Linked DNA regions of Drosophila melanogaster. The protein of the gene in region 2 interacts with the protein of the main gene of each other region in a pairwise test. Each region holds a gene or a part of one and is shown on either strand. Other genes may lie near its edges.

Region 1 (5,655 bases), on a different chromosome or scaffold from region 2:
ACATTGCTCTGTGGGAATAGCTGGGAGTGGCTATCAGTTAAGAAAGTGAAATGCTTCAGGAGCGGTTGCCAAGTTGGTGTTAATACTCGTTAAAACGTGGCGAATGGCAATAATAAGTTAGGAGCGCCCCAATGATTAACAACATATATAGGTAATTTTAACCTAATTACATAGTAATATTGTATATTGTATATTGTAAAGTACCGTTTCAAAATTTGAATCTATTGTAAGTATTTCAACTCCCATATGACGGAATTCTTCATATCTTTAGTTTCTACTTTGATAATAAACACGTTAATGCTTTTTAAATAGCACCTAGGAAATAATTCAGAAAGCGGGTTCGATCCGCTCTACACCCCTGACTTATTTGCACAACTGCAGGCATTGGGTTCAACTTTCTTTTTGACTTCCCAGTTGAGTTGGCGCCGCTCACCTGTTTTCATTACTGTCCGGCAGAGATCTACGGTCTTCCTTGCAGTCGTCCGTCGAGCTACTGCTGACTGGGACCAAATCTGCGCCACTTTCGTTTGCTGACCGGGATGCATTATGGTTCTGGTTGCTTCGAGAGTGCGTCTCGATCACGTTGAGAGCCACCGTCTGCGACACTTGCCGGGAGAAATGAGCCGCATCTGTTGGGGGATCAAAACGAGATCAGAGGTTGAGGAAAACCATCGGGGTTGCGGAACCCACCGCCAGCTCCAACGGCCGCGGCAGCCGCCTCCGTGCTGCTGATGATGCAGAACTCGTCGTCACCCATGTCCCAGGCATCGCTCACCGACTTCTGGTACTCGGTGAAGGTGGACACCATGCCAGATCCGGGGGCAGCGCCGCGACCGACCGCTACCCCAACTGCCGCCGCCTTCTCGAGCTCCCGCTTGGGACTGGGTCGTCCGGGCACTCGACGTCCGCTGTTTTTCCAAAAGGTCGAGGAGTTTGCGCCGGGCGTTGGTCCGGCTCCACTTGCCACGGTTACTACTGCTACACCTGCTCCTGCTGTTCCTGTTGCTGCTGCTGTGGACTCGGCTGTTTCAGTTTGGCTCTTTCCTGCTAATTGCTCTACATTGTTATCCATCATACGTTCCCTAGAGCCGATTCTATGTCAGCGTCATTATATTATTTTGCATCAAAAACAGTGTGACCATGGCAACTATTTACGGCTTTCACCGCACGACACTTCTTGGTAGTGATGAGAGCGTATCGTGATCAAGTGACTGGTGCGAAACCGAACCATATTGATACCCATTACTTGTGGAGAAGAGTGAACCTAGTATAGTTCCGACGAGTCGATCAAGAGATATAAATGATTAAAAATGAAAACTCGTAATTCAAGACATTTTTCTATGCAAAAGCTTTTAGAAATATGGAAAAAAGGTATGTAATTAAAAAATATTTAATAAAGACCGTAATCTTTGAGGTATAAACATAACGAAAATGTTTTGTACAGAGTTCTTCTTTCTGCAATATTAAGTAGTATAATTAGGTAATTTTAATTAATGGTAGTAATGGTATTACTTATTAGCAAAGAATAAAAGGGAAACTATGCACCGTTATATGTTTCGATGCGTGACTTTGACCGCTCACCTGGCAACCCTGGCGAATGCGCTTTGGATTTCGACTGCAAACGTACACGGCCACTCAATACAAAACAAGTGTCTTTCGGTGTGATAAGAACCAGAACCCGCAATCAACGATTTCATTATTCGGTGGATCAATTGCAAGCTCCAAAACTATGCCATAAGGGGCAGTCGCCATTTAAGCAGTCAGTGTGGAAACAGCAAGATGCAAAAGCAAGAAGAGACGCTGTCGCGCCTGCGAACGATATTCGACATATTTTTACGCGAGAACTTTTCCACTACGAACAATGTTTACTTTGAGAAGCTCCTCACGCACTTGCAGGCCAAGGGTGAGTTTACCAATCGGAGTGGCCCCGCAATCTGCCCTTAAATCCTCAAATGAATCCCATCTGTCCGCAGAGAATGCCTTTGTGCTGCAGGCCCCATTCGTGGTGGAATGGGTGGACAGGTGCATCACGGCGGTGACCGAGGACTTCAAAAAGATCCACCCGAAGGTGATATCCTTCATGCTGAATCTGACCAGTTTTCTGGCGAACAACGAGTGGATGATCGTGCGCCTAAGAGAGCTTGATATAGTAAACAGGTAAATGGTAGGATAGAAAACCAGGCTCTAATCTCTTAAAATAATCGACTACCATTTTAGAGCAGTGAAACTACTACAGAGGGAACACAACTTAAGCCCATCGATTAAGTTAGGTGGCATACGTCTGATGAAAGCCATCACCGTGTATAGCATGGGGCTGGCCTTTCTGCGGATGCACCGGATCTGGACGCTGCTCATCCAGTATTCCAACAACGATCACACGCTGTACGTGGTGCGGGAGGCCCGCCAAGTGCTTTACAACATGGTGTACAAGTCCTGCGACAAGCTGCACGATAAGGCTGTTACCCTGGAGATTCTGTCGGAGATTATGCAGCCGATTCACGACAATCTTTATAAGAACACCGACGGCGTGGAGCGCATCCACGTCAAGGTGGACGACAACGAGATGTTGCACAAGATCTCGTCGACACTGGATCTACTGTCCTACATACTACAGCAGACGCTGGTGCTCGAGGAGCGCACCACTCTGATCATCCTGCTCAAGGAGCATCACGACTTCGAGATTACCGTTTGGAAGCTGATCGATATGACCCACAACCCGTACTTTACTGAGAAGATCTTCACCACACTGAGCAGCTACAACTTTGCCCTGCTGTTGCACGAAAAGTTGCTGAATCCGAACGCCACCGAGCCGTCGGAGGAGTTCACCGAGTTCGGGTTGGCATTCTTTAATCTCATGAAATTCCTTATTACCCGCAAGGACGGCTTGAGTTTTGTGAAGTTGGCGGAGCTCAATCATGTACTTTGGAAAAAACTTGGACCTCGTGCGCCCAAGGAAATTGTCATCCAACAAGAGCGCGTTACGTTTGAAAACCAGCTAATCTGCTTTCACATGCTGCCGTTGCTCTTCTCCATGAAGTACGCACAGAAGATCGCCGACGAGGAGAGCAAGATAGAGCTCTTCGACGCCTATGTTGTCAAGTTGCTGGAGATCTCCTGCGAACAGACCTTGCGGCTCTGCTACACAATGCGGGACAACTTCTTTTCTGCAGACGGCATGGCTGTTGGCTTGGTGACGGCCGGCCTGGCAAACAAGTGCATACATAGCCTGTTGGCCCTGGAAAACGTTCTCGATCGAGAGCAGGCGGTTACTGTGTGCCAAGCTTTGCTATATGTGCTCCGCGAGGCAGTGGCCATGAGTGTCATCACAAATAATGGGGAGGATGACTGTCACAGCGTGAGCAGCGCGGGCAGCTCCTACCTAAAATTGTACCCCCGGGGCACCGAACAGGTCGTTAACGATCCACAAGTTTTGCATTCCGTAATGGTGGGTTTGCGCACCTTGATCGAACGCTTTAAGATCACGTGGAAGGAGTCGGTGGAGACCATTGGCCTGGTCAATTGTCTGGCATTTGTCCTGGAGAACACAAGCATGGATGCTAGGGTAAGCAAAACAAACTCTCATTTCTAGCGGGTTAAAATAGTAAAATGTGATTCTTCATTTGCAGTGCACTGTCCAAGCGCTGAAGCTCGTCCAACTCGCTGTGGAGCATTTCCTTTCACCGAACATGGCTCTTTTGGTGGACAACTTGCAGGGCTCCGCGCTGGTCTGTCTGGGTCCCATTATTGTGAAGCGAATGCACGACACAATGTGGGAGGTGCGTGACACAACGCTGGAGCTTACCACCTCTATAGCCAGTATCTCCCGCATCAGTAAGCGTGTGATTATCTTAACGTAGTGCCTAACATTAATGATACGTTGCTTCTACAGAGTTTCCCGCCTTCCAACGCTTTCTAATCGACTCAAAGATACCCCCGATAGTTTACGAAATGGCCAAGAATGACTCGGAAGTCTATGTAAGAGCGTCTGCCTTCCAGTGTCTTTCCCAAATGGTCTCCATAAACCTTTTGTGGGAGAATGGTCTAAGCCAGCTCGATCTTGTAGTGAGTTAATCTATTTACACATATACTCGGAAAAAATTATTAATTAAACACTTTGAATTCTCGACAGGACCATCTTTTGTTTGTAATGTATCGGGAGACCAACGATATCGTGAGATCCGAGGCCGTGATTACGCTGATGAAGATCTACGAGCACCGCAAGATCCACGAGAAGTACAAGAACACCCTCTTCTCAACCCTCAACTATTGTGTAATCGGGGATCATCACACGGAGGTGAAGCTGAATGCTTTAAATTTTTGGCGCCGCGAGTTCTACCGCCAGTTTAGCAATCAGGGCATGATAGATGGCTCTTTTCCCACAGTGACCTTCTCTAAGGAGCAGAAGAAGATTGTCACGCTGACGGAGAAAGAGATCCAAACCAGCATTGCCAAAGTTTTTGGTGAAGTACAGCAGTACGGATATTTTGGCATCCTACTCAAGTGCCTGCGCGAGGAGACTTCAATGGAGGTTTTGGAATTCCTCATTAAAGGCGTCAAGACCATGACGGAGAAGTTCGAGCGCTACAAGGGCATAATGGAGGAGATTGAAATGAGATCGCCGCTCTCAGACAGAGAGCGGCCAAGATTCGACTTCCCGTCCCAGCCGCAGCCAACTCCGATTCCACAGCAGCCACCGGTCAATCCCACCGAGGCGGACGAAGTCATCGAGTCCATATTGAACTCGCAGGATGCACAGCTCCTGGAGAAGGCGTTTGAGACCCAGATGCAGATAAACGCGCAAGGGAAAACAGCGGAGAAGCGGCACATCGATGAGTTCTACTATAAGCAGTTCGCGGTGCCATTGCGGCAGTTCTTTGAGGAGCTCAAGACCATTGACCTGGACCAGTTGGTTAAGCAGCACCAGGAGTGGTTCGAGTGCAAGGAGAACTTTACCTCCCTGCTGGATGACATCCTCGGTGCGCTGAAGCGCGACGATGAGAACATGATTTCGGACTGTTACTAATTCCGAGCTAAGCCGTTTTCCAGTCAAAAAAAACCTCTCTGTGAAGTAAGCTAAAAGTTTTTTCCGTGAAATAGATAATATTTTTGATAACTACGTTTTGAACATAAAATGAGATTTTATTTCGCCGGCGCAGATAAAATAAATAACAATACAGTAACAAAACAATGTTTTAAATGACTAAACATATTTCAAATCAAGACGACCCATATTTAAACGTTTTTGTTCCTTTTTTTAATTTTTGGTGTGCTGGTCACACTGTTCGCGTCGTGTTTGTTTTGGTTTTCTGTTGGTGGTGACACACTTTTAGAGCGATGTGAGCCGAGTTTTTATCGATGCATCCATAAGAGAAACTACTTTTTACTTCTTACAAAAATGTTGTATAAGGTAGATTTGCCAATTTTTAAAACGCAAAAACCCGAAATATAGTAAACTTCGATATTGATAACTTAGCCGATATTATCGTATGGTGTTGGGAATCGATAGTGCCGGCACCGAGCCTTCCCACTATCGACGAGCCCATCGACTGCAGCACATCTTCAGCGCATAGATGCAGCGAAAAGCGGATCGTCTCGCGTTCGAATTTGCACGCACTGCTGCATAAATATTAAAAAAGCACTGGGAACATGCAGTTG
Region 2 (4,550 bases):
AACATACGTTACATTTTTGGGCATTATAATAGAACTTGAAGCTCTTGGGATAAAAAATATATAAAAAATTATTTTAAAAAAAAACTTTACTCATTTCTTCTGGTCTCATGAAAAAGCACTTCACGGTTTGAAAATTGTGAAGAGTATATGATGAAAAGCTGACACACGTGCGCTGAAGTTAAATGTATATACCACCAGCCAAAAAAAGCATTATCGCAAATTCACCGAAACTTTTCATAAGTTTGGAGAGCGCTGGGGGAGATCGTGTTCGAGAAAAGGTTTTCCCCGTGGGTTGGGTAAAATGTAAATATCGGTGGTAATGGCCGCCGCCCCAGGAGGTGGAAAAATCAACTGACCAGTAACTTTGGAGCCAACTTTGATGGCATCTTGCGAAAGTTGAAAGTGACTTAAGTGAAATTTCCACCTCAGGCGGCTCAGCAGCAGGACGACCTCGTCCCCTTTTCCATGGATTATCGAGGGGTCACGCCATGAACATGAGTAAAAATTAAATTGATTTTCCTCGGACATTGTTCGGACCTGTTCAGAAACTCGGTGTGCTTTTCTTTTTGGCCCTTCATGGGCTTCTGTCAACCCAATGTATTTTGTCGCATCCCTCGGAAAACTTGAGCTGGGCGAACTCCTTTAACTTGCCTATGTGGCATATTAAATTGGTGCGCAAATAGTTGTGTATTTTATTGACTCACTTTTACAGCTCAGCCAAGAGTATTTCGCATCTGCCCAAATTTTTAGCCAGCAAAATATTAAGTTGAGAGCTTTACCCCTGGAGTCTACCAATGCCGCAATACCATTCCTTTTCTACTCGACTTAAGCGACAATTTCATTTCAATTAAATTATAATTATATCTTCAGTTTGGCCCCATCAAGTTTGAGTCAAACAAAAAGTACAATTTTCATTTTCACCTTTGCGAAAGACGAGGCGGGCGTTGATAATTCCCCAAAATTGTTTGACACTTCAAAGTCATTATGAAGATAGCAATCACCAAACCCTGTTCCTCGGTCCGCTCAACTTTTCTCCAAGGGTCCTGGCATATCTTCACGACATTCACTCCCTGCCACTTCCAAGGCTCAGCAATCCTTCAGCTCCAGCCTGCCCCTCGTCCTTTTGCCACTTTACTCAATCCTAAGATGGGAATTGCCACGTCTGTCTACATACCTACATACCCGCAGCGCTTTTTGATGTAATTTTGGCATAAGCCAAAAAATGTTTCCTTTTCCCGAGATGTCTTTGTCTCCACTTCATTCCCCGGCGAGTGGTTTCCGAATGCGACACGCCCTGACAAATTCATCCGGGGAAAATGAGGAAAATGGCTGAAAATTAAATTTGGAATTAAAATTTTGGCCCTGGGCACATAACTTTATGCCGCTGGATTTTCTTTCCGCCCAGAAGGATTTCCTTACTCAAGGATAAATACTTAAGGCAAGCGTAGGCATAATAATAGCTAAGCAGCTTCTCGGAAATTAAGACGATTTAGTTGTTTAATTCTTTGGTTATCACTAGACTCCACAAATAAAGAGATAGATTGAAAATGTAATTAGATAATCAAATATAATTTTCACAGTTTTAAAGTTTAACAATATTGCTTATTTAAATGGTTGCTTTTCACCTCCGAATTTACTTTTAATCTCATAAGCATTTGAACTTGTAGTATTTTTGGCGGCGATATGTTATCAACAAACAACTCTTCCAAAAATAAACCTATATATTATTTTTTGGCAACCAAATACAATGCCACTCTAAATTGTAAATAACATTTAAGCAGCTGATCCAATTCTTGTGTTCAAAACAACAAAATTCAAAGCAATTAATTGTGCGCTGGTTTTTCTTTTTGCCTTTACTTGTATTAGGAATTATTCTTTAAAATATTTATTGATAGAGAAAAAAATATCCAGACTTATATATATCAATGAATTCGGCCACTGCGTCAACAAATCGAATTCTAACTTGTTTTAGCTATTAAAAGCAACAAATAAATGACGTATTAATAAGTACGCTAAAATAAACCAGTTGCAAAACAAACATTTATTTACTGTATATTGTTTCCATTAAGATAGAAATAGGAAAAAATGTAAGTCAATGAATATATACATAGAAAATATTCTTATCAGCTTACCATATGTATGTACAACGGACGTATAAACATATATAATAATTTTTGCATATAAAAAGATTCAAATGCATCTTGTTCTCAAAAATATTAGTCATACATCTTTTCAGATCGTTGCTCTAAATTCATCTGAGACTCGATCAGATGGGCTGTCGGCGATTTTCTGGAGGAGGACATCACCCACACGGAGGTCCACCTCCCCCTCGTCACCATCATCACCATCGTGGCAGACATGGTGCTGGTGGACGCTGTGGACACGGACACCAGCACCAGCCTTTTCCACCACCGCCTCATCGCCCCCATCGACATGGAAGTCACTTTTGGGAGGGATACGGTCCACCTCCACCACCGCCCCATTATCCACCACCAGGGGGATATCTGTATGGTGGCCACCATTGGCAGGGATATCCTCCTCCGCCACCTCCGCCTCCTTCTTCACACCACCCCCCACCATCTGGATCTCCAGCAGGAGGGTGTCCGCATTGCGGTTGCCCAGGAGGCGGTCCACCTCAAAGTGGATTTCCTGGTACCGAAAGACCTCACAACGAAACCTCAAACGACGATCAGCATGGCAGCTTCCAATCTCCAATTCCCGGTGGCGAAGTTCCTACTGATGAAATACCTGGAAAAAATAAATACGAAATCATTGATATTTAGACAACAGTAGAAAATGTTTCAAAAAAGGTAAAGTCACTATGTTATATCTTGTATCTGAGTAATGTCTTATTAATGATTTTATATTATCCGGATTTTCCTGATCAAAAAAATCGAGTAATGTTATGTTGATAAAAACTTTTCAAATATCAAATAAATAAATATAAATAAACAAATAATTTAAAAACTCCTTTATATTTCCGTCATTTCAATATGGTACTGAATTAGTATTAGTATTCTATTCAATTCCGGATTTTTCTGTTTTTCCATTTTCCCTCTTCCAATAAACTGGTTTATTTTATTTTCCATCGTAACCAGATGTTGACGGCAATACTTTTCTGTGATTTCCTTTTACAGGTAGAGACTCAAACTTAAGTCCCTCAGCCAGGTAGAATACCTTTCAGCTACCTACTTGATATTACCAAATCGTGGTATAAAAATCAAAAAAATATTAGAGCCGCCTCAGTACCGAAACTTCAGCCACGATGAAACTACTGGTGCGTCTTCTACTATAGAAATCTTAACTAACTTAGAAATATTTTTATAATAACAAATTTATAACTATAGATTGCTCTGTTTGCACTGGTGACCGCTGTGAACGCTCAGAATGGATTCGGCCAAGTTGGACAAGGAGGATATGGAGGGCAAGGAGGATTTGGAGGATTCGGAGGAATCGGCGGGCAAGCAGGTTTTGGTGGACAAATAGGATTCACTGGACAGGGTGGAGTTGGTGGCCAGGTGGGAATTGGTCAAGGCGGAGTCCACCCGGGTCAAGGAGGATTCGCTGGACAAGGTTCTCCAAACCAATATCAGCCTGGTTACGGAAGTCCTGTGGGATCTGGCCATTTCCATGGAACTAATCCAGTTGAGTCCGGTCATTTTCACGAAAATCCTCATGAATATCCGGAACATCATGGCGATCATCACCGTGAACATCATGAGCACCATGGACACCACGAACATCATGGACATCATAGACATTAGTACAAATATGAGAATACCCATGACAAAATTAAAGGAATGTAATGCTATAGTTCTCTACCGTAAATTCTTAAGAAACACTTGCTTGTTTCTGAAGTCTCTATTGTATCTAATGTCCAGAATTGATTTGTAAAAGTGATTCTTTATCTAAAACCCCCTTGAGATCCACTATACAACGTGCCTTCTTGAATTTCAGTATCTAAAATGAAAAAAAAAACGGAGTCTCAATAAAAAAGTAAATAAGGAAACGGAACCCTTTACTCTGTCCATTTTGGTTGAGGCATCTATAAATTATTTTGCAGATAGCATACAAGCATATATACCCCACACATCCCATCTCAACTTTTGCAATCGGAGAAAAGGATGCCGTCGACCGCTCCCAAGCGACATTTTCTGACCAAAGCAGCTGACAGAATTGAAAAATAAGCGACGTCCGACTAAAAGGGGGAATGGGGAGGGAATGGTAAAGGGTGGGGTTCAGGTGGGTGGGGGCTGAAGGTGAAAAATAAAAAATGGCGTCCAGTCGAGTGCTCAACCTCAAGATTTATAACGAAGGAAAAAAAATAGAGTCGAGGTGAGGGTGGGAAAAAAGAGCACACGTTAAAATAATGCAAAAGCTGAAGAAAACTAAAAAAAATGTGCGGGAAAAACTGCCACCCACACGGCCAAGGAAAGAGTGAGAAGGAAAACCGCACACACACTGATGCGCGCAACAACGGAAATGGAAAGGATAAAATTAATTTTTCTCCTTTATTGCCATTTACTTCACCTGCTGCTGCTGCTGCTGCT

Evidence for each region. The genes of interacting proteins can lie anywhere in the genome.
Region 1: the proteins of sala (region 2) and CG7044 interact in a two-hybrid assay, tested with the Drosophila melanogaster proteins (one large-scale study listed by BioGRID).

What each region holds. Positions count from the first base shown.
Region 1 is NT_033777.3:21,097,697-21,103,351, reverse strand, and holds CG7044 (uncharacterized protein), read left to right. Parts: upstream 1-1,633; 5' UTR 1,634-1,779; coding exon 1,780-1,903; intron 1,904-1,973; coding exon 1,974-2,157; intron 2,158-2,217; coding exon 2,218-3,562; intron 3,563-3,626; coding exon 3,627-3,831; intron 3,832-3,889; coding exon 3,890-4,062; intron 4,063-4,129; coding exon 4,130-5,023; 3' UTR 5,024-5,123; downstream 5,124-5,655. Other genes in the region: Tbc1d22 (TBC1 domain family member 22), read right to left, coding at 434-629, 691-1,075.
Region 2 is NT_033779.5:11,482,945-11,487,494, forward strand, and holds sala (spalt-adjacent), read left to right. Parts: upstream 1-1,762; 5' UTR 1,763-2,087; intron 2,088-2,236; 5' UTR 2,237-2,270; coding exon of another isoform or gene 2,271-2,783; 5' UTR 2,784-2,810; exon of another isoform or gene 2,811-2,839; intron 2,840-3,137; 5' UTR 3,138-3,265; coding exon 3,266-3,277; intron 3,278-3,347; coding exon 3,348-3,764; 3' UTR 3,765-4,005; downstream 4,006-4,550. Other genes in the region: CG43355 (uncharacterized protein), read left to right, coding at 2,271-2,783. UniProt on the Drosophila melanogaster protein: Likely to be involved in the establishment of the head.